Caenorhabditis elegans: one gene and its partner. The protein of the gene in region 1 interacts with the protein of each later gene in a pairwise test. Each region holds a gene or a part of one and is shown in the gene's direction. Other genes may lie near its edges. The genes, in order: somi-1 and hda-11.

Region 1 (8,068 bases):
GCCTCTCCGAATGCAACTGTTGCGTCGGTCTGTCCGATTGACTCGTATCTTCCTCGTATCTCTCTCACTCTTGTATCTCCCTCCCGTGTGTGTCCCTTCCCATAGGGACCTCTCAATGTTGCCAACTGCCTCAATTTTCCTCCCCGGTTATCCCCCAACCACCTTCCCGTACCCTCATTTACCCCGTATCCAACACGTACTCTTCAAAATATCTTCCTCTTTCCTTCTATCATGATCATCTTTTTTCATCATATTTGTTGTTTTTTCATTGTCTATCTCTTTGTGAACGCATGTCCTGAAGTGTTTCGAATTTTGATTGGATTGCGAGTAGGTTTTATGGTTAGTTTCAAAGAAAGAAGGAAAAGATGGTGGACATCAGGGGGACAAACCGGTTCCACAAACGATGTAGCGATTTTTCAAACGAATTGAACTTTATGTTTCACAGTTCGAACAGCTTTCACAATTTCTTGAATTTTTGAAACTTCCTCGAAGTTTTGAAAATTCAAAATTTTCTGTACCTTAATATTATGTACCTTAATAATAACTTAATATTAATGTAGACGTTTTAGTTTTAAGTGAACTTATATAGCTCAAGTGAAAATGAAAGCATCATAGAACTAAAAACTTTTTTGCAAACCTTAATTGACCGAGGTTATGTGGATAAATGCTGGCCCAATCTATTATTTTTTCAAATTCTTTTTCTGATTAAAACCACCGCTCTGAGCATCAAAAATCTGATTTTATAAATATGAAGGTACTTAGACAGGTGTAGCCAATGTGACAGTGAACCACCACATGCGCATTATAATCTGACCTCTCCAATTACCGCAAAGCATAGAGATGAACCCAAACCAGAAATAATTTGTGCCATACATTTGATATACCCAGAAAATGTTGAGCAAGAGCTTCAATATGGCACATTCAGGCCATGTTCTGTTTTATATCAATGATTCGGTAAAAAACTGAAAAAAATTCTTCCGTGAAATTGAATTTGAGCATATTGTTCAAAGAGAGTGTAAGAGAAAAATTAAATGACAATTCCCAACCCGAGTAAAATCAAAACCTAAAATCATAGATGTTTTTTTATTTTATAAAATTTTAATAAAAAACAAATTTTCAACAATATTCCAAATATTTTTTTCATTAAATTTTTTCCCTAATTTAAATGAAAAATATCCGATTCCAGTACAGTAGGAACCTTTGTTTCAAAACTACGTGCTTCAAGGATATTTTCTCGCAAAAAATATAGTTTTTCAAGGTCTTAAATATTGCGTGATTAGCGCGGCGATTCTTTGCTTTTTGTTTGACCAGTAGAAGCAGTGAGAATAGCAGCAAAACTATCCAATGTCGCTAACTTAACTTCAACCTTGAATTTCTATGGCTTTTCACATTTCATGTGACCAGTCGGTTGTGTCCACACACACACCATGACTTTGCGCGAAATGTTTCACCTTTTCACGACGGAGATCGACGATTTTTCGTCCCCTTCCGTTTGACTAGACTACTGTAAAAAATATTGTTGGAGGGAGAGTGTGGTGACTGCTGTTGCTTCTGTTGCTTCTATTGCTGGTGGTGGAGACTAGCGGATGGCATGGAACAAAATGTCAAATAAGTGAGTTTGTTCGTCTCAACAAGAGCCCGCATACACATCGAGCGTCTAACACAAATTTAGTTTTCGGGAGGGGCTTGTAGAAGACTTCGACGCTACATCTACATCCGGAGCCCTTCGCCATGCAATTCGGACGACTGATTTGGTTATTGAAAGCATGGGGCAAGAGCTAGAAACTACCAGAAGCTACTTTTCCTTTAAAAAATTCTGACAAAAGAACAGAGAGAGGATACCGTGGGAAAATCGGAAAAAGTTCATCATCTGTGTTTTTCCTTCTTCTTCTCTTTTCCTCCCATTTCTCCTTTCCCTTTCATTTTCAAATTGGTCACTCTTCCTCTATTTCTCTTTATATTTTAGTCTCTCTTTTATCTTCCTCCCTCTATCCCTTTCTTGACCCTTTCCCTCGTTTTTTTCTTTCCCATTTTCTTCACCTCCGTCTTCTCTCCTGAAAGAGATGATAGAAAATGATCATAATCTTACAGGGAGTTGCATGCTCAAACCACCCATTATCACCAGCAACGACAATAACAACACAAAAGTGGCTGAAAACTTGAATGATTTGAATAATAAGGTATGAACTCACTAACCTACACTGAAGGATACGGTCATAGGTCCAATCATTCCAAAAGCTCCGCCCATTAACCTTGGGTGCCCCAATGTCCATTGCACTGATAAAACATCAGACAAGTGGTGGGAGGGAAGAGAAGAGCCGTGGCGCTCCCCCATAACGTCTCTAAGTCTCCAAGAAAGAATACTGTAGGTATGTGGGTAGTTGTAGGAGGCACAGGAAGACCTTGAACCGATAGCATGCATCGTTAGGGTAAGGAAATGTGATACCATCTCGCAACATTCTCCTCTCTACGTCTCCACTTACTACGGGTTACTACTACTACGATTTTTCTTACCTTACATGAAAGTTTCTATATTTCAACAAAATTTTTCATTAGCTTTTTTACTTTTTTTAAGTCGAAATTCCAGAACATTCATAGACCATTCGCTGTCATATATTTCTCCGGCAAATTAGCTTCGACCGCCGCCATCTTAAGCATTAAAAGTTAATTTGACCTTTTGTCCCCCTCTCGGTTTTCTCTTTTTTCATGAAAAAGTTTGATTTACGAGCGTTGTCTTGTGACCAGTTGGAATTTCCAAACTTCCAACTTTTACTTTTTATTTTTGTGACTATAGAGGCCACCGGATTATGATAATAGTGATAGAACTTAAATTGTATATGCAAATTTTCGAAAAAAGTTCTAGAGCGGTTAGTAGTTTTTCCATAGTTCTGGAAGTTTTGTTATACGTGTTTGAGAATAAAAATTCAGCTGCTTGAATTTGAATGTTAATAATTTTTTTAAATTTCAAAATTCATGAAAGCTTAAAAACTACCATTTCTAAATTTGTGAATAAGGCCACGTTTGTTTTTTTTTAAATGGTTATCAAGCTTTGGGGTACGGATACTACGTAAGTTTTTCTATTACAAATTCCAAAGGCCCAATTAATTTTGTGATAATTTTCTAAAAATCATTAACTATTTTATAGCAAGATCAATCTAGACCAGAACACGTACGAGCTTTCCGAGTAATTACTTTTTATTTTAGGAAACAGGATGTTTCTGATTATTTTTGTATTCTGGATTTAAAAATTTAAAGATCTGTCATATATTTGCTGGAAAGGTTCAAATTCAATAGATTTCACATCTTCTCGGCGTTTGCCGCCAGCTTCCTACCCAAAGCTTCGCAACTTCTTACCCAAGCCTTGCCCAAAAAATAAAAACATTTATAAGGAGTTGCCAAGACTTGGCTAAGACTTGGGCAAGACACGGGCGAGGGAGTTTACACTAGAATTGTTGAAGTTGGGTAAGACTTGGGCATACTCTGGGTTAGAAGTTGGCAAGAGTTGGGTAAGAAGCTGAAAAGGTCCAAACTTGGGGAAGAAGCTGCCGGGAATTGCCGAGATTATACTTCTGAAGCACTAAACTACATTATTAGTCTGTCTCATTTTTTTCTTTTAAAGCTCACGAATTTTTTATTAAACTCAATTTCTCAAACTTCTCCTTATCTTTAGTGTCCACCACATTGCGCTCCCCCCAATCAACGCAGCTTTCTTTCCATCGACCCTCCAATCATTTCCATGATCACTTTTTATCACGTCTGATTTACTCTCCTCTGGTTGATTCATTAATCTTCCCCTTCTCTACCTAAATTATTTTTCTCTATGTTCTCCGAACCATCCATACTGTTTACTGGTTCCCTTATCTTCCCACAGAATCAGTAGCCACTTGTACCTCTCGCGCGACACCTTCTCAGACTCGAGTACTTTTGAGGCATACAAGAGTACAAAAATACTGATCTAGGTCATTGTGAAGTATAATAATTGAACATTTTTCAGGGGAAAATGTCTGGTCAACAGATTGAATCCTTCTCACCTTGGCACGCTCAAACGTCGTCGTCAGCCGTTACAGGAACATCAGAACTGTTTGGATCCACGTATGCGATGTTGAGTGATCATTCTGTCTATCCAGAACAATGGTCTGGAAAGCAATTATCTCAATCAGTTCTTTTCGAGCAACCCCAAATTCAACCATTGGTTGGTAATTCCTATGATCCTCCAGTACGATTTGATCCACCATATGCTTACCGTGCCACTGCGACAGGTTACATGCCAACAGTACCAGGGCTTTCTACAAATTCAAGTCCATATTATCCAAGGACATCCGGTTATGCCGCTGGCCAACAATTTTATGCTCCATCTCTGTCCGGTGTACCAAATACTCAACAGCTTATATTGGCTGCTCAAGTTGCACAAGCAAGTAATGTACAACAACAATTACAACAACAAGTTCTTCGACCTGAACCACTTCGACCGGCGACACAAAAATCTACGAATGGAGTGCATAGAAGCACCAGTAACAGTAGCGCAGAAACATTAAGGAATAATTCTGTTTCAGCTGCAACTGTTTCACCCTCAGACGATGTGAGTTTTCATTTGAAATTTTATAATTAAAAAGTGTTAGCTTGTTGCATTGCTCATCTTCTGCAGATCATATCTTGAAAATTTTTTTTTAATCAATAAGTGAGCTGACAAAATATTTGATTTTTTCTACAGCACTGTAGTTAAATTTTTTTAAATGAAATCTCTAACAGAAACCAAGCAATAAGTTGTAAAAAGAGACTGAAATAAGGCTATGTAGCTGGAAAAGTTGACTAAGCTTTTATTAAATTATCTCTAGAAATAATACATAAAAATATGGGAATGGTATATTTCTACGATATTTGTTTTATGATATTTGATGTAAATTTTGATAAATCTAATTTAACTACATAGTTTAGATTGTCGGATTGTAGGACATCAAAGAGAAATATTTATTTTCCTGTATATATTGCTAAATATACCATTTTCAGAATTCTCTGAATAGTCCCGCTTTGACGTCATCTGGATCCGCTGGCTCAGGAACTCCACCACTCGGGATTGATCTAAACAACACTGATCTCGAAAGCGGTGACGAAGAACGCGTGATGTGTATGGCTTGTCGAGGTGTCTATCCATCACGTCGAAGTCTCACGGGGCACATTGGACGAAATGAGAAGTGTCGTGAAATAATTGGCAGAAACTATTTAGATGCCCTTGCGCAAGGTGTGAATCCACCGATCCCTGGTACTGATGCAGCTATCAAGTCTGGAGCAATAACCACCGGAGCCGATGGAATGTCACCAGTTTGCCCGTTTTGTGATCGATTTATTAGTCATTACAAAGGAAACATCAGAAGACATATAAATCAGTGTCGAAAGAGTGCAGAGCCAATGAAAAGGCATCGAGTTGAAGCTCATGAAAAACAATCTCCAAAAAAGAAGGTAAAGAAGGAACAAAATGAAATGTATCAACATGAATACAATGATCATGATTCTTCTTCAATGAGTGGTGGAATGATGAATTCACCAAAAATTTCACCTCCATCTTCCTCATTCTATGGAGCCAACTCTTCAGACTTGTGCTCTCCAGGAGAATATTCCAATTCCGCATACGAACCATACCCGACACCAATGCTCGAGAACACAGAAAGAACATCAACAGAAACTGCAGTACTTCAAGATGCCTATATCTGCGAAGATTGTGATTTTGTGACAGTGTACAAGGGAAACATGAAACGTCATTTAAACACGTGCCATCCGCAGCCTGAATTTAAAAGTTTGAAAGGTAATAGTATCGAGATCGACCCAAACGGTTACTTTTTTCAGAATGGGATCAAAAGTTGGAAGGAATGCGAGCTTCGAATCTTGGAATCAGTGGAGATCGGCTACAGGAACGATTGGCAGCTCATAAAGCAAACTCCTCGAGAGGAAGGAAGCCACGAAAGAAGAAGGAAAACAACACAGAAGAGGTTTGTTTTTTTTGTTAGTGAATTGTTTAAATTTAAAATTTTAAATGCAAAAAAAAATTTCAGCTGGATAATTAATTTATCCTGAAAGTTGTTATTAAAATTCCAAATTTCCGTTTGACTGACTTGTATTCAGAAGGTCTTTCTTTTCGACCTACGAAAATTTCGGGAAATCCATTATTCAGTGACGTGTTCATTTACTGAAGTCTAACAGTAAAACTCGTATGACCTCATGCCATCAAAAAATTATCCTTAATGTTCAATATTTCTGTAAACTCTGAAATTTGATGTCCTAGCCTACTCTTTTTTTTCAAAAATTTTGCCTTTATCCCGACTAATTAACAGAAACAAACCACACATGATTCTTTCAAATGTAAAATACAGTCTACTTGAAAAAAGTTGTTTACCTGCCACAAAAACGTAAAAACTAGTAGCCGAGTAGTACTAACTAATCAATTTTGTACTATAGGTTTTGTTGATAAACTATACTGAAGTTAAAAGACCGGAAGCTCATTTAGATACTGTAGAATTCTTGAGTGTTTCGAATGAAAACAAAAATGAGGTAGTTAAAGGGAATGGATGCTTTCATTTGTAAATTAAACAAAAAATTGATTTTAAAAAAATTGAAAATCTTGACAAAATTAAGACAATTTTCTCTCATTGTCAATAAAAAATGTACATCAAAGATGAATATTGTTTCTTTTTCAGAGCGAATCAATTGATTTCAAGAACATTCTCAACTCGGAAACTGGTGCTCTTCTTGAATCGTTAGCATCCAGTTCATCTTCAATGGGAGGATATTCCAATGGAAATAACTTCCAACCACCACCTCCACCCCCACCAATGCTTTTGTAAATATTCTCTAAAATTTCTATTAAAGGTTTTCATCTAAAATGCTCAATTTTTAACTTTCCGTTTTATCAACTATTCAATCTGTCATCGTATTCTGATACATTTTGACAAAGGCAACGATTTTGTCTCGGTCCATCAACATATCTCATTCCACGTTTCAACTCCGTATGCTCATGACGTTTCTTTTGCCACGTCATCTTTCATCTCTTCTGTTCATTTCTTGCTCTAATCTTTCTCTCCCCCAACGATGACCAGTGCCATGTTTTGTGATTAGCAACAAACCGTCTAGTTAGCTTCTCAGAGATTTTTATGTTTAGAAAACCCCCTACCATTACCAATTGTTTGTATCTCTCGCTAGGTCCACACACATTTCACAAAATCCTCTTGTTTTCTCCCGGCTTATTTCCTTGTTCCCTTTATTCTTTCTTTCCTCTTCAAATTTCTACTTTTTATCTACTCAGGTGCTACTCTAAATATATAATTTTTGCCAACATCCTTATCCACAAAATAGGAAACAATTTTTCTATTGATTTGCCATCATTTTATGAAAAGACTTTTATTCTCATTTTAAGATGAACAATTTTCTCAAAAAAATGTTTGAATTTGTTTACAAGGAATAGAAAGTCGAACATATGACCGCCCAGTATCGTGGTAGTATCATGAACAATTCACGATACGGGGTCTTCACAGCAACTAGAATATTCATAATTTGGTAGGCACGCGATTTCATTTAATGTTTGATAGATTCATTTCATTTCACGAGAGTAGATTCCTCTCTGCAGCTGTTCAAAAAACTTCTCAAAATGGTAAGATTCTAATAAAATTGAAAAGAAAACAGTCCTTTCAATATCCCGTATTTAATTTGAGTTTATGTGTAGAATTCGTCCGTTTAAAACTTAGAATATTCTAAAGCGGAAATTAATTCCGCACTATATTTTATAGAATTCAATAATTGGCGAAAGTGTTCTTCTGTTAAAGAAATTATTACTTTCATAACTTGTTTCAGTTTGGTTTCATTCATGAAAGTATTCGACAACTTGTTATTCGAAAATATGGTGAAGATGTGTGGTTGCAAGTTCTGTGAGTTTCAAAAGTTTCAAGATAAAAATTATTTGATTACTATATACTTTTTCGAGTTTCAATACTTCAATTACAATTAAAATCATGGTTTTACAATGAATAAAACATTTCCAGTGAGCGATCTGGATTTGAAAACGGGAAAGAAAATATTGTCA
Region 2 (4,772 bases), 2.9 Mb from region 1:
TATTCGCATCTACATATAATCGCAAGATGTTCCATAACTTGAAGGGTTGCTCCTTGATCATCTAATGGATTCTCAGCTCCTTCTCTGACAATGCTCTCAACGTGTTGTAATCGACTCTCGACGAATGCTGTCATGATTTCTGGACAATAAACGTTGAGAAGATGCTCATCATTATTTCGAACATATGGAACAGACGTCACCATTCTCTGCCAGAATGTCATAAGAAAATATGTACTGTTGGCTGAGAACTCCATCATTCGTAGGCTTTGTACAGTGAATTCCGCGAGTAACCTTAGCATGTGACTGTAGCAGGGAACAGCGATGAGCTCGCACAGCTGATAATTTGTTTTCAGACGAGCAATCAAACGGCAAAACTCGTGGAATGCGGCCTAAATCAGGTATATAAATATGTTTGCCTTTAATTTTTCATTATTCTTACCTGGTCACTAAGCTTCCCAGGGTTCATAATTACACTGACAACTCCTTCAACAAGTTTTTGAACGTAAGCCTGTCGCTCTGTTCCATTGAAAAGCGTTCTTCGAATACTTGCCAATTGAGCTATTATTGTCATCACTTTTTCACTTGATTCTTGTGGAAGCACATTTAAAAGTTTGAACATAAGCTGTACAATTTTTCCATCAGTAAAACTTGCTCTCCATGCTGTTGGGATTTGCACATTACAGTTGTCTTCACTTGTTTCGTCTGTCAAACTTCCTATATAATCAAAAAGTAGACATTGGAGATTCAAGTTGAGAACCGCGTGAAGAAGACCCAATTGGCGATCGTTCAGATTTCTGTCCACATTATCGTTCAAAACATTCAGAGATACCGAGAAAATCTCATATAAAAAATCGTCCCTGAACTGCGAAAGATTCTTGCGATGTTTGTTAACTGAATCCATTCCCGAAGCTGAATTCATGTCAGCAACGAGTAAGGTTAACAGTTGCACGGCCAGCATACTTTCCTCGATATTATCCATGTTGATTGTTTTGACAAGGCTATCAACCGGATCACGAAATGGATATTCAATTTTTGTGTCTTCTGTTTGATTTTCTGTGGGATTTTGATACGTCCATTCTTGTTTCGTGAGTCTTGCAAAAAGTTGGCAAAGTGATGTGACGAGATATGGAGGAAATTGAGGTGCACCTTGACCTAGCATTTCCAATAAATATTTTGCAAGCTCGAGCTTCTGAACAGAAGTGATGCTAGTTTTTCCGCCGAGAAGTTTCATTAGTGTGGTGCTTGCTACCATTGGTCCGTATGGGTACTGAAAATCATTATGTAAATTGTTTAACACTTTTATTATTTCGACTTACATCTCCTCGTGCAAAGAGAAGCATGCATCTTTGAAGGCATTCGGGTGACTCTGACAGTTCCGCAAGGTTACTCTCGGCTCGGTGTCGGGCTTGCGGATCGACACTCTCATATAGATCTTTGCATAGACTGTTTAGTACCTAAAATAAGATTAGAATGCACATTAAGAATTTTGAAAATGCTAACCGGTAATTCATCCATTTTTGAAGACTTCGAATCCGCTGTTCAGCGATTCACTCCTAAAATATCCAATTCAGAAGTAATTATAGCTTGAGAAAGAGGAGAAAAATGTTTTGAAAAGCAAAAAGAATGTTTAAAACGGATAAAATTAATTCGGCGTCTTCCCACCGTTAATTGTTTCGAAAAACTGCAAACTTTGGTGATGATTTGAGTTTCTGAAAGACGAAACATCTTGTCCTGGTGAAGTACACGGCGGATGGCCGATAAAAAAGTTAGGCCATCCTTTCTCATCCTACTCTACATCCCACAGGCTCTCTCGCCACAATTGGCATCTTTTGGCAGTTTCCACTATTTTCAGAATTCGTTATCTGTTTTCTGATAACAAAAACAAGAAAAACAGAATCTTTACGACTACTTCTTTATTTATCCGCTCTAACCACTCATTCTACGCAGATTTTGAATGGCAGAGCGGTGAGTTTTGAAATTTAATCTGTAGTACAACATGCAGTTGGAAATGCCAAAAATATCAATAATTTCAGAGATAAAGATGAAATCTTTAGTTTAAAAAGTTATCAACGTCCAATTGTCTATCATTCTGAATATAATGTAACTGCATTTGGAATCGAACATTTACATCCATTTGATTCTTCGAAATGGAGAAGAGTCATTACACATTTGAAAGAAATGAATCTGATCACTGATGAAACACTCGTTGAGCCAAATCTACCGACATTTGAAGAACTCACTAGAGTACATGATAGAAAGTAGGCACATGAAAGTGTTGTGAATGTGATTGAATCGTGGAATTGGTTTATGAAAAAATCATGTTTGTATGGCCCCATACTTAAATTGAAAGAAAATAATTAAGCTCATAACGTTTATAGTTGACATTCTAAAAAAAAGTTAGATGAGGCGTTCAACAATTTCAACTAATAAAAAAAATTTATTCATATTATTTTAGATATCTGAAAAGTGTTCGAAATCCTATTAAAGCAGCACAAATCGTCGAGATTCCATTTGTCGGTTGCCTTCCACCGTGCATTATTGAAAGCAAGTTATTGCATCCACTACGGTATCATTCCTAGTAATTGTTGTATTCATTTATTTGTGTTTTCCAGTTTACAAGCCGGTGGAACAGTTTTAGCTGCCAATTTGGCTCTAAAACATGGTTGGGCGATCAACGTGGGTGGTGGTTTCCATCATGCTTCTCGTATGTTTTTGTTATTCCGCAAGAAAAATAGACGCTATGGGATTGTACAGCAGCCTATAATTTCAGATTCGGGCGGAGGTGGATTCTGTTTTTACGCTGATATCACCATGGCAATTTTCGATTTGTTTGACAAAAAGGCAATTGCCAACGCGATTGTTGTAGATTTAGATGCTCATCAGGTACTGGAAAAAACATTTGAAAGAATATAAAATACCGTATATTTTCTATTGATGCGTGCGGCACCTTCACTGCTCAACTTTGACAGCATATAACTCAAAGGAACACGTGTAGTCAGAAAATCCCATTCCGCTTTGATCTTCGAAAAATGCGGGAGTTGAGACGCAGACATCTCATTTGATTTGGAATGGTTAAGAACGTGCTGACGTCACAATTTTTCTGGGAAAAAGTCCCGCATGTTTTGTAGATCAAACCGCAATGAGACAGTCTGACATCACATGAAGGAAGTATTTTGCCTAAAATCATAGATGGCCGATATCTGAGCTTTCAAAGTTAGAATTGTCCTCAAATTTTAGCTACCTTACAGTTACGTTAAGAATTCTATAGACTACGGTATCATTTTGGAAAACCATTTGGAACGTGAATGAAATATGTCTAGCCCGTAAAGATATTTCTCAAATATTAGATATTAATTCGAAATATTAATCACAATATTAATTGTTTAAAAAAATTATTAAAATTTAAGAATCCAATTTTTTGCTTGAATCATACTTTAAGGGAAATGGCCATGCACGAGACTTTGCTGACAATCCGAATGTGTTTGTATTTGATGTTTTCAATCCATATGTCTATCCACATGATCGTGAAGCTCGTCAATTTATTAACAGAGCGGTTCATGTAAATGGTCATACGACTGATACTTCCTACCTCTCGTAAGTATTCATAGCGGCTTTCTGCTTTCACTGACCGACTTTATTTAGCGAATTACGCAAACAACTGGCACAGTGTTTAATTGATAGAGAGAAAACTACTCCTCCTGGTTTCGATTTCATTATGTTCAACGCTGGCACAGACTGTCTACTTGGTGATCCTCTGGGAGCAATGAAATTGAGTCCACAGGTGTGTGAAAGCAAGGAATATTGTTATACGAGTTTGGTATTTGGTGTATAGTCTATTTTGAAATAAGATGTTGCATATTTTTTTGAAAATCAAATTTTCAGTGCATAATTGCTCGAGACGAAGTTGTGTTCAATCTAGCAAAATCAAAAGGAATTCCAATTTGCATGGTAACCAGTGGAGGGTATCAGAAGGACAACGCGCTTCTCATTGCAAAATCAATTGAAAATCTCCAGTCAAAGAATCTCATCAGTATCAAATAAAAAAGTTATATCAGCATATCTTTTCCTTATAAATTATTTTTTATTAAACTATTTTTTATTGTTTAATGGCAGGGGAAACTAAATAGATAGAAGGATCAAGTTCAAAATTTCATTTTAAAATCGAATGGATGATTTTGAAACATTCTATATCAACCCGATTCCATTAAAAATAAAACAATCCAAAATAATACAAAGTACTCTGAATATGAACTTTTCCTAAAACTTTCAATTTTTATGAATCCTCGACTCCTCCCAAATTTTCACTTTATGTGGATGTCACTAGGTCATCATCGGGTAAAGGGTCACACAGAGAGACACAGTCATTTCTCGCCTATATCTTTTATTTGATTCTTCTGTCGATTGCGACATGATTTGCTTCCGTACAGCTTTCATTTTAATTCTTGGAGTAGTGATAGGCACGACAGCAAAACGACACAATGTTCGAAGGCATGTCAATGGTAAATGGACTGATAAACATTGTGAAGAACCACCTAGTTTGGTTAGTTTTTGTTTTTTTAATTGAGAGTAAATAGTTTCACTAGCATGTTCTGGATATTGTTAGATATTTTTACATAGATTTATTCAATAAGTGTGTAAATATGCGTGAAAAATGGATGAAAGTATAACCCAAGTGTAAGTTTAGGAAAATCTCGAAAATCGGCCAAAAAGTCATATAGATATTCATGTTTATCCCCCATCAGTCTAAAATGACCAAATATAAAAATTGAAGT

The links.
Region 2: the proteins of somi-1 (region 1) and hda-11 interact in a two-hybrid assay, tested with the Caenorhabditis elegans proteins (one large-scale study listed by BioGRID).

Annotation. Positions count from the first base shown.
Region 1 is NC_003283.11:13,385,417-13,393,484, reverse strand, and holds somi-1 (Zinc finger protein somi-1), read left to right. Parts: upstream 1-2,089; 5' UTR 2,090-2,099; coding exon 2,100-2,180; intron 2,181-3,994; coding exon 3,995-4,579; intron 4,580-5,007; coding exon 5,008-5,800; intron 5,801-5,841; coding exon 5,842-5,984; intron 5,985-6,689; coding exon 6,690-6,836; 3' UTR 6,837-7,423; downstream 7,424-8,068. Other genes in the region: Soluble guanylate cyclase gcy-34, read left to right, coding at 7,637-7,639, 7,840-7,913, 8,028-8,068. UniProt on the Caenorhabditis elegans protein: DNA-binding protein which binds to the promoters of let-60, lin-14 and lin-28, possibly to regulate genes involved in hypodermal and vulval development.
Region 2 is NC_003283.11:10,524,356-10,529,127, forward strand, and holds hda-11 (Histone deacetylase 11), read left to right. Parts: upstream 1-1,828; 5' UTR 1,829-1,954; coding exon 1,955-1,965; intron 1,966-2,033; coding exon 2,034-2,258; intron 2,259-2,455; coding exon 2,456-2,566; intron 2,567-2,612; coding exon 2,613-2,704; intron 2,705-2,770; coding exon 2,771-2,883; intron 2,884-3,439; coding exon 3,440-3,594; intron 3,595-3,642; coding exon 3,643-3,781; intron 3,782-3,882; coding exon 3,883-4,041; 3' UTR 4,042-4,089; downstream 4,090-4,772. Other genes in the region: xpo-7 (Exportin-7), read right to left, coding at 1-389, 440-1,267, 1,317-1,454, 1,501-1,515; F25D1.3 (Interleukin-17), read left to right, coding at 4,409-4,540.